Linked DNA regions of Cricetulus griseus. The protein of the gene in region 3 interacts with the protein of the main gene of each other region in a pairwise test. Links are inferred from orthologs where the notes say so. Each region holds a gene or a part of one and is shown on either strand. Other genes may lie near its edges. The genes, in order: Zgpat; Dock2; keratin, type I cytoskeletal 40; Pimreg; Josd1; Rwdd2b; Lage3.

What was found.
Region 1: the proteins of keratin, type I cytoskeletal 40 (region 3) and Zgpat interact in binary tests that used the Homo sapiens proteins (3 or more experiments, as listed by UniProt). The two-hybrid records come from large-scale screens. The link is inferred for Cricetulus griseus from reciprocal best matches to the Homo sapiens genes KRT40 and ZGPAT.
Region 2: the proteins of keratin, type I cytoskeletal 40 (region 3) and Dock2 interact in binary tests that used the Homo sapiens proteins (3 or more experiments, as listed by UniProt). The two-hybrid records come from large-scale screens. The link is inferred for Cricetulus griseus from reciprocal best matches to the Homo sapiens genes KRT40 and DOCK2.
Region 4: the proteins of keratin, type I cytoskeletal 40 (region 3) and Pimreg interact in binary tests that used the Homo sapiens proteins (3 or more experiments, as listed by UniProt). The two-hybrid records come from large-scale screens. The link is inferred for Cricetulus griseus from reciprocal best matches to the Homo sapiens genes KRT40 and PIMREG.
Region 5: the proteins of keratin, type I cytoskeletal 40 (region 3) and Josd1 interact in binary tests that used the Homo sapiens proteins (3 or more experiments, as listed by UniProt). The two-hybrid records come from large-scale screens. The link is inferred for Cricetulus griseus from reciprocal best matches to the Homo sapiens genes KRT40 and JOSD1.
Region 6: the proteins of keratin, type I cytoskeletal 40 (region 3) and Rwdd2b interact in binary tests that used the Homo sapiens proteins (3 or more experiments, as listed by UniProt). The two-hybrid records come from large-scale screens. The link is inferred for Cricetulus griseus from reciprocal best matches to the Homo sapiens genes KRT40 and RWDD2B.
Region 7: the proteins of keratin, type I cytoskeletal 40 (region 3) and Lage3 interact in binary tests that used the Homo sapiens proteins (3 or more experiments, as listed by UniProt). The two-hybrid records come from large-scale screens. The link is inferred for Cricetulus griseus from reciprocal best matches to the Homo sapiens genes KRT40 and LAGE3.

Annotation. Positions count from the first base shown.
Region 1 is NC_048599.1:540,403-544,568, forward strand, and holds the start of Zgpat (zinc finger CCCH-type with G patch domain-containing protein), read right to left. Parts: upstream 2,801-4,166; 5' UTR 2,525-2,800; coding exon 1,944-2,524; intron 1-1,943. Other genes in the region: Arfrp1 (ADP-ribosylation factor-related protein 1), read left to right, coding at 3,478-3,570, 3,859-3,946, 4,135-4,166. UniProt on the Homo sapiens protein: Transcription repressor that specifically binds the 5'-GGAG[GA]A[GA]A-3' consensus sequence. Represses transcription by recruiting the chromatin multiprotein complex NuRD to target promoters.
Region 2 is NC_048600.1:49,789,972-49,793,952, reverse strand, and holds the start of Dock2 (dedicator of cytokinesis protein 2), read left to right. Parts: upstream 1-1,181; coding exon 1,182-1,314; intron 1,315-1,500; coding exon 1,501-1,584; intron 1,585-3,981. UniProt on the Homo sapiens protein: Involved in cytoskeletal rearrangements required for lymphocyte migration in response of chemokines. Activates RAC1 and RAC2, but not CDC42, by functioning as a guanine nucleotide exchange factor (GEF), which exchanges bound GDP for free GTP.
Region 3 is NC_048600.1:113,048,948-113,053,114, reverse strand, and holds the start of keratin, type I cytoskeletal 40, read right to left. Parts: upstream 2,801-4,167; coding exon 2,354-2,800; intron 1,086-2,353; coding exon 1,003-1,085; intron 703-1,002; coding exon 546-702; intron 1-545. UniProt on the Homo sapiens protein: May play a role in late hair differentiation.
Region 4 is NC_048600.1:85,882,761-85,887,034, reverse strand, and holds the start of Pimreg (protein PIMREG), read right to left. Parts: upstream 2,801-4,274; coding exon 2,516-2,800; intron 915-2,515; coding exon 640-914; intron 227-639; coding exon 131-226; intron 1-130. UniProt on the Homo sapiens protein: During mitosis, may play a role in the control of metaphase-to-anaphase transition.
Region 5 is NC_048595.1:376,857,760-376,861,700, forward strand, and holds the start of Josd1 (josephin-1), read right to left. Parts: upstream 2,801-3,941; 5' UTR 1,891-2,800; coding exon 1,706-1,890; intron 1-1,705.
Region 6 is NC_048597.1:9,901,857-9,904,377, forward strand, and holds the end of Rwdd2b (RWD domain-containing protein 2B), read left to right. Parts: intron 1-45; coding exon 46-280; 3' UTR 281-2,021; downstream 2,022-2,521.
Region 7 is NC_048604.1:1,362,682-1,365,879, forward strand, and holds Lage3 (EKC/KEOPS complex subunit LAGE3), read left to right. Parts: upstream 1-1,336; 5' UTR 1,337-1,370; coding exon 1,371-1,606; intron 1,607-1,913; coding exon 1,914-2,042; intron 2,043-2,369; coding exon 2,370-2,484; 3' UTR 2,485-2,698; downstream 2,699-3,198. UniProt on the Homo sapiens protein: Component of the EKC/KEOPS complex that is required for the formation of a threonylcarbamoyl group on adenosine at position 37 (t(6)A37) in tRNAs that read codons beginning with adenine.

The DNA.
Region 1 (4,166 bases), on a different chromosome or scaffold from region 3:
GACATACACCAAAGTTATGGTAATGCAGGTGGAGTTAGTTAAATTTATTTTTAAGAATCTAAAGCAAGCTGGGCATTGGTGGTGCACGCCTTTAATCCCAGCACTCAGGAGGCAGAGGCAGGTGGATCTCTGTGAGCTCGAGGTCAGCCTGGTCTCTAGAGCAAGTGCCAGGATAGGCTCCAAAGCTACATAGAGAAACCCTGTCTCGAAAAACAAAAACAAAACAAAACAAAACAAAAAAAATCTAAAGCAAATTCAAGAAAACAACTCATTCATCCTGGATGGTTGTAAAGATGGTGTTAGATGTTTTATTGTCTTTTAGTTCTGCCCTAAAATTGATACCACAAGCAGCTCCTTGTGATGAAGTGGTCTCACGGCCAGCAACATTGTACCGATCACTTAGTGCTTTGGTGTCTGTCTCTCCATCTATAAAGTGGGGTGGGGACTGACAAATGGTTTGACAAGTAAAGGTACCTTCTGCCAAGCTTGATGACCTGAATTCAATCCCCAGGGCCCACATGGTTGAAGGAGCCTACACTCAAAAGCTGTCTTTTGACCTACACATGAGCACCATGGCACATGCATATATACATACAAAATAAAATAAAACAAAAATTATATAAAATGGGATGAGTTCAGGGCCTACCCATAGGTTCGTGCACAGAGAAGTGAGCATATGTCAGTCAGAGAAAGTACTTAGAGGTATTAAATCTCTCATCACAGGGCTTCCCACAAAAAGACTATGGCAGATAAAGCAGCCACTGGTTATAGCAACATGTGTATTCTTGGAGAAAACCCACTGAGCACACTGATCATTTATGCACCTATAGGCATGAGAAGGAAAGAGAGTGAGCAAGGAACATGTCAAGTCTACTAGGATCTAAAAAAGATGTGCAGAGCCAAGCTAGGTAGCACATGCTTGTAATCCTGGCCCTAGGGAGGTAGAAGCAGAAAGATGAAGAATTTAAAGTCATCCTTGGCTATATATGGATTTCAAGGCCAGCTTAAAGCTACATGAGATCCCATGTTAAAGAAAAAGTAAAGAAATAAAATGTGCAGAGTACAGATGTAACCATGGAAGTAAGAGCTTAAAGTGATGTAAGAGAACCACAAACCAAGGAATATAGGTGGTCTCTGGAGGTTGGAGAGATGGCTCAGTGGTTAAGAGTATGTGTAATGTTTTTGAGGAAGACCCAAGTAGTTCACTACCAGTAGTCCTGAAGCTCCTGCTTCAGGAGATCCAACACCTTCTTTTAGCCTCCTCATGCACCTGTACTCAAGTACACATGTATTCACAAACACACACACATACACACAATTAAAAAGAAAAGTAAGTATATAGAGCTAGAGAAATGGCTTGGTGGTTGAGAGCATACTGCTCTTGCAGAGGACCTGAGTTTGTTTTCCAGGATCTATGTTGGGTGGCTCATAAGCACCTGGAACTCCAGCTGTAGAACATGCAACACCTTCTGGCACCTGTACTCATGTTCACATACCCACACAAATACACACAAAAATAAATCTTAGCTAGAAGTGGTGACACACGCCTTTAGTCCCAAGCACCTGGGAGGCAGAGCAGGTAGATCTCTGAGTTCAAGGCCAGACTGATCTACAGAGCGAGCTCCAGGACAGACAGGGCTACACAGTGAAACTCTGTATCCAAAAAAAGAGGGAGGGAGGGTGGGAGGTGGAGAGAGAGAGAGAGAGAGAGAGAGAGAGAGAGAGAGAGAGAGAGAGAGAGAGAGAGAGAGAGAGAATGAATATAATGTGTTTACTTATGTGTTTACTTAACAGGGAATGTTCCTGTTAAAGCCTGTCAGCCACCTGAAGCTCCCCCTTCTCTTTTATCAATTCTGCGGGGTGGAGAACAAGTTGTGAAGGCGGCAGGCCACAGCAGTGGTCCTGCTCGAGTGACCCTTATTGCTAGTAGCAGAGGGCTTTACCTGCAGTTCTCCTTGAAGCGGCATTTTCCCTCCAGGAAGAACGGGCAGGGCTTCAGGGACTTGTGGGTAGGGTACAGGTAGAGTACGCGAACGCATGCCGAACCATCCTCTGCCTCTTCAGTGCCCACAACCATTGCGTTGTGATACTCTAGCGTGCCCCAAGCGCTGTGGTAAGGGGCATTCACTTTAGCACCGCTCAGCTCCTCCTGATCTGGATCCTCCTCGTCTTCCTCCTGTGCAGGGGAGGTGGGTCCAGGCCGCACCACGCTCCCAGGGACAGTCTCCGAGTCATCCACGGGGGCGACGGGTGCCTCCCCTTCCTCCGCCACAGCCTTCTGGAAAGCCAAGTACTCAGCGTCCTCCTCTGCCTGGTGCTCCAGGTCCACTGTAGCCAGCAGCTTGCTCTTCCTGACCGACAACAGGCTGGCCTCGGTGAGCTCTATCAGTTCCTTCAGATCGCCCTGCAGCTGGCGCAGGTCCGCAAGCTCGGAAGCGTCCAGGCCAGCACCAAGAGCCAGCTCTACCTGCCCGAGCTGGGCCCGGTAGGTCTGCAGGGCCGTCTCCAGGTTGTCCTCGTCCATCGCTACACCGCGCAGGCTAGTTTCGGAACCGCTAAAGCAGACGAGACCTGAGGGAAGAGCAGTCGGCAGAGCTCAGGACAACGCCGCCCCCTCCCCGGCCGCTGGAGAGGCTGAGGAGGACCTCGGCGCTGCCAAGGGAACCGCAAAGTATCCCACCGCGTCCTCTGCGGTCCGCAGCCCCGCCTCCCGCCGGTGCTCGCAGCCTACAAGGGCTTCCGGCCTCGCCAGCAGAGCCCTCGCGCTAGCCTTCCGCCCGCCGCGGGCACTTCCGCCCGAGAGCTGATGCTGCCGGAAGTGCCCGCGTTCGGGAGCCTCCGGGATGGGGCGCGCGGGGGCCGTCGGGATGCGGCTCCGCCCTCTCGTACTCAGTCGGCCGGTCGGTGTCCCGACAGGCACCGCGCGGGGTCAACGCGAGGTCGGTGGGGTTTGCGACGCGACGACGGCGTCTGCGGCTCCGAGATCTGAGCAGGTGCAGGTGGGTCTCCGCCGGACTGAGGGGCCGGGGTTCCAGAATCCTGGGGTAGGGGGCAGGGAAGCGGCTTCGGCAGCTGGTTCTTTGGCTCCGTGGGCCCGGCAGCGGGGGGGGATCCAAAGGCGGCCCACTCAGAAGCTGACTCTCTGGTAGCTACGACAGTCGAAGTTCCCAGTGCTGAGTTGAGGGTCCGGAAAAGAAGCCTTAGGAGGGCGGAGCAGGGTAGGCCGCCATGGGTTTTTCAGGACTGATGGTGTATTCACAAAGATGACCCGCAGTGGGAGTAGTGGCCCAGGTTTAGCGGGTGGTCGGTGGTGGAGGCAGGGTCCGGAATCGGGGGCTGGGGAGAGGGGGGCAAGGAGTCGCGAGCCACGAGGCTCCACATTTGAAAACTAGCAGGACCGACGGACCACTGATGAAGCGGACAGGAGGCCGATAGCCCTGGTACACACCTTGACATTTCTCAGGGTGCCAGGGCAGGATGTACACGCTGCTTTCGGGGCTGTACAAGTACATGTTCCAGAAGGATGAATACTGCATCCTGATCCTAGGCCTGGACAATGCCGGGAAGACAGTAGGTGCCTGTTCTCTCACCAATTCCCTTTCCCTGCCTTATGTTCTTTGCAAATCTAATCCCTACCCAAGACTACAGGTTAGTTGCCACCAGCCTCCCGAAGAGCATTCAACAGGCAGAGGTTCGTGTGCATGTGTGTATGGGTGTGAAGGCCTGAAGTTGCCCAAACCATGTGGGTGTGAAAGCCTGAATTTGCCCAAAGCATATGGATGTGGAGGGATATTTAGAAAAGACACCAGGAAACTGCTTTAGCTGCCACTACCTAACCACCTTTCTTTCTTTCCTCAGACCTTCTTGGAACAATCAAAAACACGGTTTAACAAGAACTACAAAGGGATGAGTCTATCCAAAATCACCACTACCGTGGGCCTAAACAGTAAGGGGGATATGAGCTTGGGTCCCTTAGAGATGCAAGCCCGTACGTAGCCCAGCTGGCCAGGGGCCAGATCCCTCTCTGTGCATGCCTGCTGGGATTGGTACCAGAATGGTTTTCCTCATTCCAGGAAGAGCTGGGACTTTGTAAAGAGTAAGGTCAGGAGCTAGCTCATTCTATCCTCTCCCCAGTTGGCACTGTGGACGTGGGGAAGGCTCGTCTC
Region 2 (3,981 bases), about 63 Mb from region 3:
GTAAAGTTGCTTCTGTAAGTGAGTGTTCAGAGCTAGAGATGTAATAGTCGTGCAGGGAACACACACACACACACACACACACACACACACACACACACACACACCTCTCAAAACTTTTTGAGACAGGGTCCTTCTGCTGTTCACAGCTCCAGGAACCTATGTCAGTGACTCAGGCAGCCATCATCAAGACTGCCATCGCCATGGGGAAAGGAGACTATGACAGTGATACTGCACAACCTACTCCTCCCTGCAATGGTGTGGGCGATTCCAAAGGACTAGAGGAGTCTGTGACAACTCCTAAACCCAGGAACTAACAGTTTGTATGAGAAAGCAGGTTCCCTTGGTGTTTTTTGTTTGTTTGTTTGTTTTTTGTTTTTTTTTGGAATCCCTACCCCTGACTTCCACCCTCATGATGGGGACTGAACCCAGGACCTTGCACTTGCTAACTATTACTATTACTATTACTTGCTAACTATTACTGAGTTAAATCTCCAGTCCATGGATGGGAATGCATTCCTGAATGTTAAGTGCTCCTCCATGAACACTACAACCATTAGGGAACAGTGTGATTGTGGCCTGCAGGAGCCTGAAGGGTTTGTTCTGGTGAGCTCTAGGTTGGCTGTGCTTGGTTAGGAATCAGATGTTTTGTGTTGCTTTCTTTTGTTGTGATGAAATGCTTGATGTAACAGCTTCAGAGGAAGGGTGTTATTTTGGCTCACCATTTCAAATGAATTTCTGACCACCATGGGTGGAAGGCATAGCAGAAGGGCTATGTGGTGGTTGGAAGCTCCTGGCAATGACTTGTCATATATGAATAGATCAGGAAACAACGGCTGGAATTAACAAAAGGCATAATCAAAGGCCCACCCTTAGTCATTCGTTTCCACCAGCCAGAACATCTTAAAGGCTCACAACCTTAAACAGTGTCGCAATCTGGTAGTTTTCAAACCACTAGCTCATCCTGTCCTACTTATTGGACAAGGGGGACTGTGTGGTTGGTAACAGAGTAGTAGAGAGCCCTGCATGTTAGGATTCTGTTGCTGAGATGGGGAGATGGGGATCAGAAGGCAGCCCAGCTTAGAGGGTGAGAGTATGGAAGTTAGATTAGAGTTTCCTGGCATTTCTCATCTTGGCTACTTTGGCCAGAATTCCATTTCTGGCCTCACAGCTCCTGCTTCACAATGGGTTGCTTGTGGGGAGGGAAGAAGAAGATACGCAACCTCATGCCTGGAGCACAGCAAGAGGCCAGATGTGTGGATGGTATAAGCAGTCTCCTGTCACCAAGACTACAGTACAGGACCAATGTGGGAAGAGGTTAGGTTCAGTTTTTAAGAGGGTCCGGTTGATGATTGAAGAAGGCAGTTGGCTTTTGCACTGGCTTTCTTTAGTCCATGCGGGCTTCATAAGTGTGAGGTCCACTGAAGGCAGAGGAAGCAAGGTGGAGCAAGGAGTCAAGATACCTAGAGGTCTAACTGACTGTCTCCATGTTCCATTTCACAGCCATCTACAACTTCCAAGGCAGTGGAGCCCAGCATCTCACCCTACAGATTGGCGATGTGGTGCGAATACAGGAGACCTGTGGAGGTGAGTCGTAGTTGACTATGTGCCCCTCAGATGCTGGTTCCTTCACCATAGGAACCCAGGTACTTTCAGTACTCTCTCTAGGTCTGCACTTGCATGACATGTTTAGACACATGGTGCTAATGTATTACAGTCAGCCTTTTGTGCCCATAGGTTCTGTATCCATGAGTTCAACCAACAACAGACAATATTGCTTCTGCAATATGTATATTCAATTCATATCATTACTCCATAAACAACATAACACTATGATTATTTGTATGACATTGCCACATATTAGGTGTTAGAAATGGCATAGAGATGATTTAAAATATGTGAGGACCTCCATATGGTCTACATAGACATGGTACCATTTTATATAAGGGGCTTAAATATCTGTGGGCTTTTGTGCGGCAATCCTGGAGCCAATCTCCCCAGTATTTTGAGAAATGACTGCAATTAAAGTTTACTGAACAAAAAAAGTGTTTTATTATTTTAGGAATGTTAGTTTCATAACAAAGGCCTAGCTGGCTGACTTGATGTTTGCTATGCTCTGCATTTGCCACAGTCAGGGGACTATGGGACTTTGGGCCTTTGGATCTTTCTAGATGTAGTTCTTTATTAATATGTACACTATTGTAAAGAAAAATAAGCATCATCAAGATGCAGGAGGGTGCCGTAAATTATCCTCCTGACTCTGAGAGAGAGAGGCCGTGCCGTACAGTAGTGTTATATAAACGTAGCTCCCAATGGAGGAGGGACCCAAGCTGAGGCTATGTGGGTAAAGTTGCAACTCTTGACTCCTGCAAATCCATTTGGTCATGAAGCTAAGTGTATATTGAGTCTAGTTCACCCTCGATGGTTGTGGGAAGGGGTGCATCTTAATATTTTCTAGAAGACTAATGACCTTAGATTTAAAAAACAGGCAACTGGAAATTATCATCTATGTTACTGACACACTTGATATTATTGGCAGGACTGGCGTGTGATAACGTAATGAGTTTGTTAATGTGTCACTGATGATCAGCAGAAACCCCCATCCCACACACCCAGGCTAAACTTCCAGAGTTCTCCCTTGCTGGGCCAGCTTATGACTACTTCTGCACAAAAGACACAGAGTAGAAGCAGTATCCTGTGGCTGGCAGAACAAAGGATGAAGCAGAGACTTGTCTGAGAACACAGCTGTGCCATCTCCCAGTGAATCCATCAGACAAGGCCCTGGAAAGGAGTTCAGGATGGTAGGGACAGGTGTGCTGCAGGATAGGCCTCTGCTGGAACACAGGAGCCACGAGCCGTCTTGTCACTTCCACAGACCAGACACTGCCCTCCATCCTGGAGAACACAGAACCCTACTCAGGACTCATATCAGCCCACTAGATAGGTAGAGTCCTCTGCGATCTTGGATAAGCTGCATGAGGCTTCTTAGGCAGTGGAGCCCCTGCTTCTCTGCAGATGTGTGCAGAGTTGTTTATGAATGCATGCACACCAACATGACATTCATACAAACACCTATAACCTCCCAACAAAGATACACTCATGTGAATTCACAGCTACCCATAAACATAGCACACTCACAAGCACACACAAAATCACATACAAACATGTACACATAAAAACAGATGCGAACCAAGAAAACAAGCAAATAGAAAACCTTTCTTTGAAGAGGGTAACCTGAGAGCTGCTTGCGTGTAGGGTCATATGCTTTGGCAGGATTCTTTTTTTGGGTTACAACTAATAGGGTGCCCAGGACTAGGAAGCATCCCAGCCTTGGCTTTTTAAAGCCTTTTGAATACTCAAGATGAGTGTGGTTCAGGAAGTGGGTGGGGGCATGGTGAGGAGTGGGTGGGTAAGGGGATACCTTCTTGTAGACTCAGGCCTGTTATTCTAAATTTACCACCCCTTCCCACAGTACAACCCTAGCTACAGTACAGCCCTATGTTTTACACATCTAATACTACCCATTGCAGAAAAACTTTTGTATATTGTAATCTTCTCATCAGTTTTAATTACTTAGTATAAGCTATCTATTTAGACCAAAAATATATCTTTTTAAATATCTCAAGGCTAACAATGATTAGCTTTGGGAGGCTGGAACACTGAGTGATAATTATGTCACACTTTGTGCTTTCTGATTGTTTTCAAAGCATCTGAATCAGAATAGTACTTCCTCTACTAGCTCAGGGATCTCTGCTCAGGGGCTTCGGGTTCCTCACCTGAAGAGTTGTGATCACACTGCTCCTGGACTTGTTACCTGAATCAAAAAAGGGAGACTAAAGGTGTTTGACTCAGGGTCAGCATTTTGTGTTCCTTTCTTTCACCCAGTAAATCTGCAAGAGAACCAGTATGGGTACCTATCTATGCAATATGGGTCGTGGTCACTTGGAAGCTGAATTTTTGCATGCCTAGAATGGATGGGATTAG
Region 3 (4,167 bases):
AACAGGGAAGAGTTAGACAATAAATTTATAAAATTCTTGAGAAATGCTAAGGTATCTGTAATTGTCAGCTGTTACTACCATCAAAATATGCAAAGAATACATTTTTGTTTTACTTTATTATGTAACTCTGCATTTCATTCTTAAGCTTATAATAGAAACAAGATTATAAATGTACAATATCTAAAAAATATTACTCCTAATATTGCATGACTATTTATTCCTTTTTTGGAAGTGGATACAGCTCTATTTTCTTGTTGTACAGTAGAGCTACAGAAATAGCCATTAGTGGAGTTAATTCTTCACCCAAGCAATGGCAGGAGGGAGAGTGGCCTCACCCTGGCACTTGGGGCGGGTGATGTTATGCAACAATACACACTGTATGTCACATCTACCTTGAGAGACACTGGGATGCTCAAACCACACAGTGGGCCTGCCTCTGGTTTTGTTCCAGCTTAGTCAGTGTCTGCCCTGGTTCAGTTTATACCCATGAAATCTCTCGGTAGAACTCTCCCTATAGTCCTTGGCACAGTGGCCACTTCACTTACCTCTTCGTGGCTTTTCTTAAGGCAAAGGAGATCACTTTTCAGGGACTCCACGTGGGCCTCCAGATCTGACTTGCACAGGGTCAGTTCACCCAGGATCCCACGAAGGCCACCGATGTCATTCTCCACCAGCTGGCGAAGAGACAGTTCACTCTCATACCTTTCACAGCAAGAGAAAGAAAAGGGAGTGTGTTACTTGGCTAAACACTGACCAAAGTGCCGGGGTACAAGGATGAGTGACATGTGGCCTCCAGGGAGACACATGTCACAATTCCCCGGGTATCCCAAATGATGGTGAATTCAAGTTTCAAACATTCTAAATTAAAAAAAAAAGATCTCATGCAGAGAATTCTCTATCACTGGAGGCCATTATTATTTTCAAATTAAATTTAAGATTTAGAATGCAATTTGTATACATAAAATACAATGTGGTTTAAAAAATAAATACAATTTGACTTACTTTGACCTAAAATCATCAGCAGCCAGTTTGCAGTTGTCCACCTGTACGGCAAGTCTAGAATTCTCTGCCTTCGTGCACAGTATCTAAGAGGCAAGTCATTATGTAATCAACAGCTCTTTGGAAGAAACCCACATTTCTGTTTTAACAGTCTGCCATTCATTAGCTTAACAAAATTAGCATAACATAATTTTCAGCCTATAACTATACCATGGAGAAAAAAGGAGACATGCAGTGCCAATTTAGAAACAAAATACAGACATAAAAATAGGTTCTCTTTCTAAAAAAAGATTTTATCTTTTTTCCAATTGTGTGTGAGAGTGTGTATGTATTTGATCTCTCTCTCTCTCTCTCTCTCTCTCTCTCTCTCTCTCTCTCTCTCTCTCTGACTCTGTGTGTGTGTGTGTGTAGACTTGTTCTTTGCCTTAGGATGCCAGAAGAGAGTGTCAGGTCCTCGGGAGATGAACTTATAGGTGGTTGTGAACTGCCATATATGGGTATTGGGAACTGAACTCAGGTTGCTCATGAGCGCTACAGTGCTGCTATCCACTGCTGAGTCATTTCTGCATCTCAAGGTTTCCTTTATAAGTGACACAAGGCAGGACATTTGGCAGTCATCATTGACAGCTGAGCTTTGTTAGTTTTCTCCACTGCTAATATTTATTAGAGTTGCATCTCTGTCTGTGGTCATAGAAATTCATCAATGAAAAAAGAAAGAAGGCTTTGTCAGTAGAGCATTTGCAATACAAGTAGGAGGACCCAGGTTCAAACCGTAGAACTCATGTATAGAAAGCTAAGTATAGCAGTGTGTGCCTGTTACCCCTGCAAGGGGAGACAGAGACAGCAGTATCCCTGGGACTCTCTGGCCAGCCACCCAGTGAGTCAAATCAGTGAGCCCCAGGTCCCTTGAGAGACTCTGTCTCAAAACACAAGGCGGGGAGTGGAAGACGCTTGCCATTGACCTCAGGCCTCATTGACAGCATGTATTCCCTCTCTACATGCACACGAAAGGAAAATGATTACCAGGTGAACTAAAAGAGATGGCATTTGATGTCTGTTTGATAAGGAATATAAATAAGTAATGATACATGCAGAACAGATTTTAGATATCATAATTCAGATTCCCCCTCTCTGTAGATGACATAGTCTACACACAGACATGACATTTCTATGGTCAATAGTGCTGATACTGAGACAGATTTCTTGCCATCTATGGCCCTCTTTTCCTGGCAGCATACCAGCTCTGGGAATCCCTCCTCCCTGGTTTTACATCCATAAAACAACCCGCGCCACTGTAAATATAAGAGAATTCTGAAACAGGAAACAGAGAACATTAGGGAATGAGACACACAACCTTTTGCTGGAGTTCTTCAATGGTGTCGAAGTAACGCTGATAATCTGGGCACACCAATGGGGCATCGGGCTCGCATTGCTCTCGGATCCTGCATTCGAGCTCCGCATTGTTCTCCTCCAGGCTTCTCACCCTTTCCAGGTAGCTGGCCAGTCTGTCATTCAGGAACTGCATCGTCTCCTTCTCATTGCTGTTGAACGCCCCTTCCTCGCACCATGCACAGCTCCCCACCAGGCACGGACTGTTACAACCGCCAGCGAAGTAGCAGGGTGAGAGGCGACCGGCTGAGAGGTGAGCCCTGCAGAGGAAGCTCGGGGTCTGACATCTGGATGTGGCACAGGTACTGGGCAGGCAAGTTGTATCGGTGGGACAGGGTGAGGCAGCCGCACAGTCCGGAGCCTCTGCACAGGGCTCAGAGGAGCAGCACCCAGGGGAGCCATCAGAAGCCATCTTCTGTGAAGGAATGAACAGACCGGATGCTGTAGTGCCGAGGTCTTGTCTCCAAACATCTCCTTCCCCCCCTGAGACCTTTATATCACCCTTCAAATGGGTGTTTACAGGCCACACCGATGTTTCCTCTAGCACCGCGGGTGCTAGTTTTCCTACAAACATCTCATTAGTGTTGCTTATTTACCGAGGAAGTTTTATGCCTCGTAAAAGGAGGATAAGTTCAGGTTACTAAATCAGGACGACTGTCATTTCCACGTGTTGCTTGGATAAAATCCTTATTTTAGCGAATAGCCATAGGAAACATTATCCCGTTGAAAGAATAAGGAACCCAAGAGAAAATCTGAGCCATTGGTAATCATAGGTAGAGCTCATTAGAGATACAGAAAGTAATATTTCCATAGGTTTTGATTTTGAAAATCGATTGCTCTTGTCTACTTTAAAAGTGGACACCACAGCTCATTAAATTGCATGTATTTGTTTGTGCTACCAGCCACCACAATGATAGTTAGCAATCGTGAAGGGCATGCATGCCTGCGTGTGTGCGTGCGTGCGTGCGTGCGTGCGTGTGGTGTGTGTGTGTGTGTGTGTGTGTGTGTGTGTGTGTCCTTGAAGCCTGTGCTTACATGGTAAAGAGAAAGGTGTATATACTGAGTGTAAAGCACGTGAGATCATTTTATACAACAATGAGAATAAGTTGTGTCCTGTGAGCCAAGACAGAAAGTGGTTGTCAAGATCTGAATTGTGGTCTTTGGTTATCTCAAACATTCTATCGCTAGCCAAACAGTGATCATGACCACCCCTGCTTAGTTTTTGAGATTGGATATGCTCAGAGTGGATGGTCATACACATAAGCTTTGCCTTCTCGTATTTCCATGTTAGATTCCTTATGCTACTTTTAAAAAGCTGTTATCATTCATTTATTTTGGTGTTGAGGCTCAGACATAAGGTATTGTGTTATTCTTTTGTTTAAAAAGAAGAAAAGAGAAATATTGAGACAGACATATTGACTTAAGACTATAAGTTTATTATAAGGCCCGGTAGAATGGAATGGGGAGACTAAGAGGGACAGGGTAATGGCTGACCGCCATGGCCGGTCGCCATAGAGAGACAGCGGGGAAACAGAGAGAGGGGACAGAGAGCAGGAACAGGGGGAGAGAGAGAGAGCGCGCGAGCGTAAAGGGGCAGAGAGAGAGAGAGAGAAAGGTGCAGGGGCCTATCTTTTAAAGGGGTCCTCTGCACCTGCGTGCAGACTTCTTTCCCATGGAACCTTGGGCTGACCAGGGTATTGCCTGAGTGGATTCCACCAGGTAACAGGGGCAGGCCAGCATAATGCCTGAACCTTTCATATTGTTCATACTACATATATG
Region 4 (4,274 bases), about 27 Mb from region 3:
CCAGAGGGACAGGGACTGGTCTTGGTCATGTGGCAGATTGGTGTTGGAACCAGAACCCTCTCTAGAAATACAGTATGGCTCAAGGGGCCCATGGCCATTTCACCCTGATGCACCCCAGGATGCAGCTCACCTCTCTTCAGCCTTGATGGCTTTGTCCAGCTTTTGTGACAGCTTCTGGAGATGCTGGATTCCAGCCCCCACAGGCTCTAGGTCACTGTCAGACTCACTGAACACAAGAGGATGCAGGGGTTAGCAAGAGCCCAGAGCAGGGGCCAGGCAACCCCGGGTGACTGGGAAAGCCTCACTAGAGCCTCACTGCAGCATGTGACATGCAAACCTGTGAGGCTGAGCCATGGAAAATTATTTTGTAGTCAGATGACGGTTGCTGCTGGCCTTGCACCAGTGCCTGGGATTTCTAGATGTTTCCTATCTAGAATGGAGTAGAACTCATCTCCTGTCCCTTTCACAGGTAGGGAAACAGTTCTGGAGAGGTTTTTTCCCCTTCAGGTCCTCACTAGCTCTGGGGCAGATCTGAGCCAGAACAGGGATATGACAGGTCAGAGTGTCCTCACCCTAGGTAACACTGAGGAGACTTGTGGGACAGAAAGGGAAATCACACTGGGCTCGGAGACTACTTGCCTGGGAGAGCAGAGAGGTTCTGTGGAGGAACAGGGGCTCTGGAGGGCAGCCTCCCTCCTTAGCCGATGACGTCGATGGGCATGTGGACCCATCTGGCCAGAGAGGCGAGGATGTCCCCCGACTCTGGCATCCCGGTTGGCCCTGTATAGCCGAGTGTTCTTCTGGCTCAGACTGGGCGGGGATCCTCTGTCCTTCTGGGCTCCTCGCTTTCTCCTCACTTTGACCTGTGTTTGCATTAGCCACTTGGTGCCACTTTGGCAGGACTCCTGGATCCTCTGTGATGGGTTCATGTGGGAAGGTTAGCAGAGGTTAGCAGAGACAGGACCAAGGTGGGCTGCCAGCCTTTTGCTATCCCTCCATCCTAGGGTCTGTCCCACTAATACAGTCTGCTGTTAGTCTTAAGAGTGAGTATGATTCCCTATAAGACCTTCCCAGAGGCCCAGCGCAGGGACACAACAGGTAGTCGCAAGAAGATGGCTCCACATTTGAAGCCCTCTGGGAGAGACTAACCCAGACAATGAGGGAGGTACAGTTTCCTGACTACTGGACCCCTTGCCATCCCCCTCTGCTCTCATTCCTTCTCTTCCCTCCTCCATCTTAGTCCACACAGATCCTTCAATGACAGTTCTGATCATAACCCCTTCTATGGCTCCCTATAATCTACAGGGCCGAGTCCCAACCCTTGGATCTTTTACATGTGGCCTGATCAAACAGTTCTGCTTAGATTGCCTTTGTCTTGGCAAATCAGAGCCCAGAGGTTGGAGCAAGGCCCAAGGTAAGTTTGATGAGTTGGGTGACCTTAGACAAGATGTCACATTTCATTGCTCTGAGCTATATTTGTTGAAAGCAATCTTAGGGCTCTTCCAAGTCAGAGCTAGACTTTGGCTAGGAGGCCTCTCTGTAGCATTGCCAAGAGCCTCTGCTCTCTCTCCACACCACCAGAATGCCCAGGGAGATGCCCCCCCCCCCCCGCTTCTCTCGTTGCAGGTATTCTCATTTTCATAGCTGCTGCCCTTTCCAGGGCACACCTGCCCGCATCTTCCACTCCAGGGTTAAAGACCTGTGTGGGGTCAGTGAGATAGCTCATCAGGTAGAGGTTCTTGCCACCAAAATTTGACAACTCGAGTTTGATCCCCAGAATCCACAAGGTGGAAGGAGAGAACGTACTTCTGCACGTTGTTCTCTGACCTCCAGACGAATACCATTACGTGAATTCTCCTCCCATAAATAAACGCAAACATTTAAATAAACATTAAAAAAGATGTCTGCTCCTGGGCACACTGCACCCAGACACCACCCCTCAAATCTGCCTCTGAACCGCTCAAGAAGTTGCACCCTTCTGCAAGCCCTGCTCCTCTGCCTTTTCCCACCAAGTAGCTGACAGCCAAAGTGAAATAAGTAGTCTGACTGGGAGAATCTAGACAGGGGTCATCACACACCATCCCTGTCCCCACTCACTGTGACTTAGTCCTCACACCAAGGCCACTTCAGCATCCAGGCTGGACTCACACCATCCTCCTGGTCCTGCGCCTCCATATACCGCCCCTTTCCCGAGTTATCTTGGAAGTCTTTATTCTAGGGAGTCTTTATCCACTAAGCTTGAGACTGGCATCTCTTTATAGTTAGCCATTTCTTGCAATTTCCTCTCATAGGGCACAGCAGGTTACCTTGCACGGAGAGCATCAATTTCTTCCATGAGATTTCTCACTCACTCACTGATTTGTTGGAAAACTATTATGTGCCAGAATGACTGAGGGTGTTGGGGGAAACTGCCAGGACCTAATCAAACTCCAAGACCCCACTGACTCTATATTCTTGGGGCCTTCCTGAGGATAGCACACTTCTGTAAACAAATGGCTAGTGGTGTCACTGTTACCTGGGACATAGCACCCAAAGCACTTTTGGCGGAACGAGCTGCAGCCTGAAGACCCTGCTGCTCTGGCTCTGGGGTTTCCAGGCGTTTCCAGGAGGGGCCAGTGCCGAGGTTGAGGCTGACAGCTCTCAGTGGCAGCCTCCTTTGGAACTGTCTGCACAGGGAGCCCAGGGGACCAGTCTCCTGATGGCCCTCAGCAGACCGGGTCACCGTCTTCTCTAGATGTTCCTCTTTTAGGAGTGATCTTCTGCGCATGGAGGCCGTCATGCCCTGCCACTGAGACGCCATGTGCTTGGTCCAGTCTCCTCTGCTGGTTAGTTCCTGGAGAGGTCAAAAGGTCAACAGAATACTCCCTGGCCCTATTTCCCAGGCGTCAGAGACCCTGGGAACTGGGGAAGGGATGAAGTGGAACATATCTGGGTGGGCCTGTTGCGCAATTGTGGATGCCAGAAAGATGACCATGGCGTCATGGTCAGCAGCTGCCTCGACTGTAAGGCGGCAAATTGTCTGACTTCCATCCCAGCCTCCTTCACTAAGGCTCAGCGGAGAGGCACAGAGGTTACCGAGTCTCGGCGCTTATGCAGGACACCATCAGCAAGCGGCTCTTTCACAAATTCGTGCTCCTCTATGGAGCAGACTCTGGCCACCCCGCCAAAGCCTCGAATCCGATAAGGTGCTTTAAATTTCCAGACACCGCCTTTGCGTTGCGGGTCCTGTCTAGAGCTCCTGGCCCGCTCCGCTCTCAGAGCTGCCCGTGAGTCCCCCCCGCACCCCGCCCCCCAAGCCCTTCGATGTCCCCGTGCGCTCACCTCCCTTTCTGATACCGGGGACCCGAAGATCAACACCCGCTCCTCGCCCACCGCTGCAGATTTGAAACTCCGCGCGGCCCCGCCCCAGCCTGGTGCTCGCAGCCCATTGGCCCTATCAGCCCTCCGCCGCCACCTCCCCTGAATTCCGATTGGTCTGTTTCTCTCGCGACCATAAATCGTGCTTTGGGATTGGCCGGGCCACGCCCATACATCTCTGGGGACCCCCGCCTGGATCGCAGCAAAGGTTCCAGCAGTCAGTCACCGCCCAGTCCCCTTGCCACCTCCCAGTGGTCGCGCTTTGTCCATCGCATGTCCAGGCCCTTCCCAGAGCCTACGGTCAGGCTGCTCTGCGGGATGCTGCGAGAGCGCAGGTCACGGCCACCCAGGGCATCCCTTCCGTCCTTCACCCCACCTAACTTCCCGCATCCAGTAGTTTTGTAGAATGTTCGGCTGGGACTGCCGAACTCTGCGTTCCCTGGGAAGTTTTGTTTCAAATTCCCCCGCCTGAACCTCTTCCTTCCTGAGAGACCGCCCAGCCCCTGTCATTTCCTCAAACTCACCACCCGGCTGGCACCCAAGAAAGCACATCTCAGAGGAGGGGGCAGACTGTAGAACCACCTCTCCACCCGTTAAGTCAGGTCCTCCGCTTGGTCTTGCCCCAGACATCTTTCCATCTTTCCCTTAGTTTCCCAGCAAGCTTAAAACAACAACAACAGCAACAACAACAACAACAACAACAACAACAACAACAACAACAACAAACAGCCTGCTATGATTTCTCCCATGTACCAGTTTTTATTTTTGTTGTTTTGATGTTCTGCTTTTTTATTTATTTTATTTATTTTTATTTTTTATTTGAATTAGAAACAAGATTGTTTTACATGACAATCCCAGTTTCCTCTCCTCCCTCCTCCCCTGCCACTCCCCCCCCAACTAAAACCCTACCTATCACA
Region 5 (3,941 bases), on a different chromosome or scaffold from region 3:
GTCTCAAGATAGTTAACTCCTCTGTCAGTCCAGGAGCCAAACTCATAGAGGTCAAAATCTGTCAACCTGAGTACAACTAACTACATAATATGACTAACTAACCTGTAAATAATCTAACATTTATTTACTGGTGGGTAAAACTAGGCAACTCCATAATCTTGTCCTGCTTCCTCAGATCATTGCTAAGGTTGCTCTGAGGTTGTCAGTATACCCTACAAAGTACCAAACATACTCAGGTACTCATGGTGAGTCATTTCCTTCTCCCTGGTTATAGATTAGGAAACAATTCAGAACTGCCCAGAAGAAACATGACAGCTGCCCAAAAGGAAGCAGTCAGAAGCCTGTGTCCTCCTTTCTGTCACGTGACTGGATGGTCAAAGACACATTTTCCTAAGGAATGAATTCTAAGTGCAGATAGTGGTCATAAAGCAAATGGCACATGTGTCCTGCTAAGGCAAAGGTAGACTATGGTCTTTATTGGCACTGGGAAAGAATTACTCTCATTATAGTTGTGTAAGAGCACTCAGGTTGGAGCTCTTTCCAGAGAGACCTATGGTTCCTTCAGGATAAGTGGTCCACACCTAGGCTCCACAAATCACCCCAAACAGGCTGATTCTAGCCGTAATGCTGTGCAGCAGCTATTTTGTCTCTAAATGAGGATTATTAAAAAGGTCCTCTGGAATTTCAAAGCATCCATGAACTTGCTCTGCCTGAGATCTGGGTATACCAAGCCTTTTCCAGCTGCAGGGATAAGACAGGCTCACCGTCAAAGCTGCCACAGACTGCAGTCATGCTGCTCGGTACAGCAAGATGCTACACAACTCTCAAGGCCGCTGGTAAAAGACTTTTCAAAAGCCAAAGCAATGGGCATAAAGCTGAACTCTGACCACTTGTGGAGTGATGTGTTTGTTCTAAGGGGCCCAAAGGCAATCATTTTTCTTTTGGGGACATAGTGCTAGGGGCTGCACCTAGGACCTTCTGCATAATGTGCACACTCCATCATCACTCAATTTCTCACCAGCCCCAAGAAGGTCACCATACAGCAGCAGGAGAGATATAGAGTGGGCTCCTCTCACAGCTCTGCTGTTTAGAAGCTGCTTAGGACAAATTACTCTGTCCATTTCTCTGTCAGTAAAACAACGGTGAGGAGCATCATACAAAATAATGTATGAAGAGCACCGCAGCCAATGCATGGCCTCAGAAAAGCTATGCACTCTGGGTACACTTTTCTTGTGGTGCCCATCACATCCCACCTTTGGTGACAGTTGCCTGTGGATGAATCTTGTCTCCCTTCTAGACTGTAAATTCCTTGGTAACAGGGTCTGGAAGGGAGGCATTATATCAGTGACCACCAGCAGAGATATGAACCTGAACTCAACCCTGAGTCCATGGCTTGTTGGGTTATTTGGAGGAAATTAAGGAGCTCTGCAGAGCTCTGTCTTCACCACAAAATGGGAGTAACACACACAACATGGAGTCCCCTATCTGACCAGATTCGTGGTAACAGCACTACTGAGGCTACTCCACAACAAATGGACCAGAGATGGTGATCATCTCCCATTCCTGTCCTCCTTATGGTGTCAGACAGCATCCAATTCCAAACCTGTAGGTTTGAAGGTTTCTGTCCCTGAGGCATTGAACCACCCACACAAATTCAGAAATACCAAGAAGTGGGGATCGAGAATGCCAAGCAAGGGAGCCTTACCTCTGGAAAATCTCCTGCAGCGTTTCCCTCGTGAAGGCATTGCTGTCCTGGAAGACATTGTTGAGGGCGTGAAGGGCACAGAGCTCCCTGCGTTGTTTCTCATGGTAGATTTGTGGGGGTGCTGCCTGGGGAAGCTCCAAGGATTCAGATTTGGCCTTGTCTCCTTTCCATGGCATGCAACTCATGTTTTTTGATTTAGGTTCCAGACAGAGCTGATAAACACCCCACTCCTTCCCTCCTGATTCAGAAGGTCTAGGCTTCTCTGTTTTCAGATTCCTGAGGGTTCACCTTATTCTCTAGTGTCCATGATTTATGCTTTGTCACTGGGAGAAAAGGTTGGAATCAAAAGGGAAAAAAAAATCCACCTCTTCTGTCTTCTTGATAGAAAAAAAAAACAAAACTTTTGGATTAGTTTATTTAGCCACCACTTTCAAAGTGCAGAATTTAAAAAGAACATATAAAACGCAAGATTCCTCCCTTTCACTACCCTCCCCTCCTACCCCCTTTGGGGGGGGGGTGGAAAAAAAAAAAACACGTTTTCCTGACTGTGTTTTCCTCTCTGCAGATGCCAAGTAGGCCTCAATGCAGGAGGGCAAAACCGAATGGGTCACATCGCTCCTTTTCTTCCATTTCGTCCGAATCTCAACGCCACAGACTCCGAAGACTGATGAAGAAAACGCCCGATGCCAACAGCTAGCGAGGGCCTGCGGGCGTGCGGTCGCGGGCCGCGCGGGGGCTTCGGGGACAGTTTTCCATGCCCGCCGGGAGGCTGGCGGACTCGGCCCAGCGGAGGAGACGCTTTGCCTCTGTGCGGGCGGAGCCGCGGGAGGGCCGGGGAAGGGGAGCGGCGTCCGGGGCGCCGCGGCAAGGAGGTCCCGCCTGGCCCGCGAGGGTGCGGCCGGACGCCCGCCTCGCCCCACGCAGTCCTAGCCCACCCGACTGGCCGTACCCGCGGCGACCCCCTGTCACGTGAGGCGACCTTTGGCGCCCTCTCCTTGCCAGCCTCACGGGGACCGTTCGTCGCCCCTTCGCCTTCACCGGGAGCTTTCTGGTCACCACCTGGGCCGCCCGCGGGCAAGCAGGAGGCAGATCGGCCGGGCACGCGCACCTGAGCCCGACGTCAGCGGCGCTCGCACGGCGCGCGCCCCAGACACGCCCCCGCGCTGACCCCGCCCGCCAACCTCGCGTCACCCCTGACGTCCGTGTGAAGCCTGCGCCGGCTGCAGGGGGATGTCCCCGGGCTTGTGGTGCAGGGAGCGGACCCGCAGGGCTGCAGTAGCTTCTCTGCAGCTCCGCCTCGGCTCCGACTCCCGCCTGGACGCCGCATGGCCCTCCTCCGGGCGGAGTGCTTTCTTGAACCTGGGTAGCGGCTGCTGCCCTGGCTCACTTATATTCACCGGATTTCCAAACATTTTACCAACGCGGTCGGGCATAATCTTGGTTGGTGAACCCGACCGCCTCCTGTTTGAGCGCTGGAGGGCAGGAGCGTCGCCGGGAGTCATATTTCAAATGGAAACGAGCGTTCTATTTCAGATCCTTAGTGTCATATTCACGTTCACTCCACACAAACCACTCCCTTTTGCTCTGCAACCTCCTCTTGGTGGCTGTCACTAGGCCTTCCTTTTTGTGTTTTCTTCTTTCCTTTGTGTGTGTGTGTGTGTGTGTGTGTGTGTGTGTGTCCTAGCCCAGCTGGCCTCGAACTCATTAAATGACCAAGAATACCTAGTTTGTGCAGGGCCTGGTACTCTACCAACGAGGGCTTCCTATTTTCTGAGTTTAGCTGAGTACATTGTGTAAAAAGGCAGACTATTTGAAGTTTCCCATAAATTTAAATTGTCATTGTCTCTAGCTCCCTTCTTTTTGGATTTTTGTTTGGAATACAACAGATTTACACTTTCAAAGCGGTGGTTTCCCAACACCTCAAAAGACTATTCCAATCAACATTGTTGTGCTATAAGTGATTACCACGTGGTAGGGAGTCCTCTGCCTCTACCTAAACTATTTATAAAAGTTTCTGTGATTTGTAAACCACCAATCAATTGCAGTGTACTTACATAGGATTTAGCTCCTAGGGACTTGCTGGGCAGCCAGCATTATTATAAATGCTTTGTATATATAAATTAACTCGTTTACAGACAAGTGTCACATTAGGCATTTCTCTTTTCGAGGGAGAAAACTGAAGCACAAAGAAGTTGATTAAGTTGTTTGAAATCACTCTGTCTGTAATGAATTAAGG
Region 6 (2,521 bases), on a different chromosome or scaffold from region 3:
GAGAACTGTATCTTATAAATTCTACTTTGAAAACCTGTTTTTCAGACTCAGAAAACTAAACTGGAAGAGAATTTTAATTCGCCATCGAGAAGACATGCCTTTGGATGGCACAAAGGATGGAATGGAGAAACAGCGGCGATTTGCCAGTTTTGAAGAAAAGGTATTCAGTGTCCATGGAGCCAGAGGAAACCACATGGACTTTGGTCAGCTGTATCAGTTCTTAAATGCCAGGGGCTGTGGGGATGTTTTCCAGATGTACTTTGGTGTGGAAGGACAGTGACTGAGCAAAGGGGCTGTCGGACCTGTGGAGTCCCTGTTCCTCCTTTGATTATGTCTTCTCATTCTTTCTCAAATTTTAATTTTAGTTCCATCCTAGAATGTTACAGAGCAGGCTGGAGAAATGGCGTAGAGGTTAAGAGCGTTCACTTCTATCACTACCGGCTTAAGTTCAGTTCCCAGCGGCCATGGCAGGCAGCTAGTGGTGGTCATCTGTAACTCATACCTTCAAGGTATCTGGTGGCCTCTGTCCTGCACACGGGTGCATGCACAAACATACACACATACATGTACTCAGGGCATCAGATCCCAGAGAGCTGGAGCTACAAGAAGTTGTGAGTTGCCCAGTGTGGGTACTGAAACCAAACTTGGGTTTCTGCAAGAGGAGTGCATACTTTTAACCACTGAGCCGTCTCTTCAACCTGGTGGAAATTCTTGACATGAACTGGACATGATGGTACATGCTTGTAATCCCAGTACTTGGAAAGTAGAGAAAAAGAGGATCTGGAGTTCAAGGCCAGCTTGGGCTACATAAGGCTGTGTCTTAGAAAACAAAAATAAAGTATTCACAGAAACTTTTGAAAGACAAGTTATATGTCTTTCAAAGGACATATGAAGGCAGTTTTGATGGTCCAATTTGCTAGGCATTTCCGACACCCGTCTGCCTTTACTGAGGAACCTGGGAAAGCTGTCTGCCCTTGGTCTCTGTTGAAACTATATCCGGCTATAAATTGCAGCTGCAGGATTTCTGGGGATTTATTTGCTTCTCTTTCGCCATGAATCTTGAAGTGATGGCAGCAACAGGGAAGGATGGCCCAAGACAGCTGCAGAGGTGCCATTCCCCCTTACCATCCGGGGACCAACATCAATCCCTGGTGATCTTCAGGCCTTTGGAATAAAATGAATTTTCTTATCACTCATTTATTCATTCATTTATTTATTTTGTGTAGCCCAGGCTGTCCTTGGACTCACAGAGGTCCTCCTGCCTCTGCCTCCCAAGTGTTGGGATTAAAGGTGGACGCCACCATGCCCAGCCAATCAGAATTTAAGGCTGTTTTAAAACAGCAAGGACAGAGGTTGGGGACCTTGTAATCACAGTCACTCAGTTTCAGGATGCCAGGGCTCTGCAGAGAGACCCTGTCATAAACAAACAAACAAAAACGAAACCCAGAAGTGCTAATGATGTCCCAAGTGGAAAGTGCACAAAATTTTCAGAAAACTGCATCACTGGAACTTCCTTCAGTCTTTGAACAAGGCACCGAGGCCGGGTGAATCTGTGTCATGTCCTTCCAGCATGGTGCAGGTCTCCCGTTCCTGCCACTTGGCTGTCTTCTTTGCTCCTTGGCAATGTGCCGGCCTTCCTTCCCTCAGGTGGCTTCCCTCCAGCCGATGCAGAAACCGTCTTAGTTTTCTTTTCATATTGCAGATATCTGGACTCAATCACTCTTCCTCCTTGTACTCTCCTTCTTTTTGTCTTGTGGGAACCAATGGCTGGGGATTTCCCTCGAGCCATTTTTTCTGCCTTCCACTCAAAGGTGAGCTTCTCAGGGCCCACCGCCCGCTGGGAAGCAGGAGGACACATAGGATGGGAGGGTGTTCTCTGCATTGAGAGTGCCCGGTCATAAAATGAACTTTTAAAGTCTCTGTGATTGTTATCAGTAGCCAAAAGTTAATCTGTCAAACCCCCCACCACCAAAGCTTTGACTTTGAAACTATAACCTACAAAAATAAATTGTTTTTCCTCATCGGTGTTTATGGTTCATTTCTAATTCTAGGTACTTAGACCTGGCCCCTATTTGTACTTGCTTCACTGAAGACTGAGAGGCATGAGCAGAGCTCAAACACTTTTTTTTGTTGTTGTTATTTCTTTGTTTTTTTTAGGACATGTCCTCAATGTATAGTCCTGGCTGGCTTGGAACTTACTGTTATATCACGCTGGCCTTGAACTCACAGAGATCTGTCCTCTTCGACCTCCAGACTGCTGAGATTAAATTGTGTGTGACACTACACCTGGTTTGAACTCAGAATTTTTCCAAAAGTCCTTGAGAGTTCAGATTTTAAATTCATGGAATCTAGTTTTTGCAAATTAGAGTTTGATAAGTTTTCATTCTGGACATGACTTTCTGTAATTTTATTTTATTTGAATTGGTAACCAATTCAATGCCCACTGAATGAATGAGTAGATAAAATATAGTATTTATTATAAAGCACAGTGTAGAATTCAAAGAGACACAGCAAGACACTT
Region 7 (3,198 bases), on a different chromosome or scaffold from region 3:
GGTGGCATAGGGGCAAAAAAAAGGGGGGAACTGGAGCCACATCATACAGGGATCTTATAAACTACTGCAAAGCTTTGGTTTTTATTCCAAGTGCCACTAGAAAACGTTTCAGGGATTGTTGGTTGGTTGATTGTGATAATGGGAATGAAACCAGAACCTTGAAATGCCACATAAATGGTGTACCAAATAAATTCTATCCAATCCACCATGACCTTTTTTATTTTAAGAGTTTTAAAAATGTTTATGTGTATGAGTGTTTGGTCTGTATGTGTGTCTGTGTTTTTTGAGGGTTTTTTGGTTATTTTTTGTTTTTTGTTTTTAGAGGCAGGGTTTCTCTGTGGCTTTGAAGGCAGTCCTGGAACTAGCTCTTGTAGATCAGGCTGGTCTCAAACTCACAGAAATCCGCCTGCCTCTGCCTCCCGAGTGCTGGGATTGAAGGAGTGCACCACCAACGCCCAGCCCAATATACAGGGTTTTAAGCATTGATTTAATCTATACTAGAAATTAGACAGAGTGAGAAGAGTGAGTTGGGCATGGGTAGGATCAAGGAACATTGTACACATGTATGAAATTGTCAAAGAATAAGTAAAAGATATCTTAAATTTGCCAGGAGGTGAAGTTCAAAGCCAGCTTGTTATACAGAGCTAGTTCAAGGACAGCCAGGGCTAATACACAGAGAAGCCATGTTTCGAAAAATCAAGAAAAAGAAAAAGAAAGAAATTAGAAACTTTTGTGGGGGATATGCTGTAGACAAGAAGAAGATCAATCTCAGAGCTTTTGAAGGTGTGATGCAGAGAGAGAGGCTAGACAGATAGTTTAGTGATTAAGAGAACTTGCTGCTTTTGCAAAAGACCTGGGTTAAGTTCCCAGAACTCACATAAAAGTTTACAACCACCCATAATTCCAGTTCCAGTACCCACATGGACAACAGGCACTACACACATGTAAAAACAGGCAAAACATTTATACACATAAAATAAAAATAAATAAATCTTAAACCAGATGGTGGTGGCACACACCTTTAATCCCAGCACACTTGGCAGGCTTGTATCTGTGAGTTTCAGGACAGCCTGGATATCTCTCTCTCTCTCTGCATCCCGAGTGCTGGGACTAAAGGCATCTGCCACCAATGCCCGGCTCCTTAGATCCCTTTTAAAAAGAAACTGAAGGGAAAGCTGGATGTGGTATGGCACTTTGGAGGCTGAGGGAGACTAGATCAATCTCTTAGAGATCCCAACAGAGGCCTCCAGATGGGGACCGACCCAATTTAGCAACTTTGTCGCCCGCCCATTCCCGCAGGTGCATGTGGGATTGGCAGCCTGAGCGAGGGCGGAGCTTCCGGAGGATAAGGCGGGCTCTGGGCCGTAGCGATGGCGGAGGGTGGCTTGGAGGGTGGAGCAGCGGTAGACATGCAAGCAGCACACAGTTTAGGCCACACTGCAGATGGCGCCGATTCCCCGACCAGCTGCTGCTGTCCCGGTGATGCAGGCGCAGTGGCAGTTATTCCCAGTGGAGCTCACCCTGCTGCACGAGCATCGGAAGTCTCCGGTTGGAGCAAAAGCACTGTTCCTTTAACCCAAAGGCCGGGAATCCGACATCATAGATTGTATCCTACCGGACAGGGACAACTGGGTCACTTTAGGGATGCTTCAGGAGGGAAAAGGGGTAGTCTGGAGACGGGGGTGGGGTGGAGGGGAGCAGGGGGACCGGCTGATTGAGGTCTGTTAACCACGGGAGGTCTGGGCATGAGAAGATAACAGGGGGAGGGGAACCGGAGGGTGGAGGGAATGAACAGGAATTGCCCAAGCAATGTGCAAGATGTAGTCTGGGGAGCTTAGACCAGATGAGATGGTTTTAGAGGGCCAAGTAGGCGAAAACGATTCAACATGGTGCCTTTCCTGAGTCTCTACCAGTGCCCTTACAGTGCCTTTCCCGACCTCTTTGGAGGCAGAAATCGCCTGTGGGTCCCTAGCTCCTGATGCCGAACCGCACCGAGGAATCTTGGGGAAAGACCTTAAAGTCAGCGGCTGCATGCTGGAGGTGTAAGTGCTGAAAGAGTCTGGCATGCTGGGTAGGTGGCTGGACTATTCTCTACCCAAGACTGCACTTCCTTAGAGACAGCACACTAGGGTGACTTCTAAGAAGACTCTTGGTGCAGTGGACCAGTCTTTACCTGCAGGATATGGTACAGTGGGAGCCTGAGGGAAGATCCAGAAAGGTAGGAGCCAGGAGGCAGAGGCAGACAGATTTCTGTGAATTCCAGGCCAGCCAGGGCTACATCGTGAGATTCTCTCTCTTTCCAAAATAAATAAGGAAAGAAGGATAAGAATTACTATTTTAAACTTAATATTCTTTTTCCTCACTCTTAGACACTGGATCTCAGAAGACTCTCGCCTCCTCCGAATTTCCATCATGAACTTTCTTGACCAGCTCGCCCTAGTGGTGAACACCATAAAGCGCTTTGGGCCCCCAGTTTCTCGTTAAGCCTGCCTGGGAAAAGGGGCTCAGATCTGACCTTATGTCGGTTCCCTCCAAAGCAGACAATTTTCTGGAAAACATTCCAGAAATAGTACCTGCTACTTAAATGTGGGGCCTAATATTTTTTTGCCTGACTTGGTCCTCAGGCACTTAGGGGCCACTTGTTTAGTTTGGTGCTCAAATGTTGCTGAAGAAAATAAAGCTGTGCTTCTAATCTGTATTTGAGTATTTTCAACCTCAAGATTTTCTTTGTGTTGGAGGAGAGGTATTTGTTGTATAAAATAAGAGTATTCACCTAATGTTGTGAGGTCCTTGATTCAATCCTCAGCAGTGAAAAACTACATTAGTAGAAAGTAGAAGAAGACAATTACAGAAATAGAGGAAAATTAAAAACACAAGCACCCTGTCATTTGGGGCTCACTTTGGGAAACTTTTGGTATTAGAATTTTATCAATATAATAAATGTGTAGCAATATCATGAGGCCCCTCTTCTGAGGAGATATTGGCAGTTTATGGCTGCTGGGGAAATGGAGTTGTTTTTCTTCAGTAGTGTAACCACTGTTAAGTTGCTCATAATTCTGTAAATAACCCCACATCCATGATCATGCAAGCAACCCTAATTAAATTCAGTGAGGCACTAATGAAAGACATGAAAATGGAGATGTAATTGTTAAGAAGAAGGGGTTGAATAGAGGATAAGAAAGGACAATAGGGGATGGA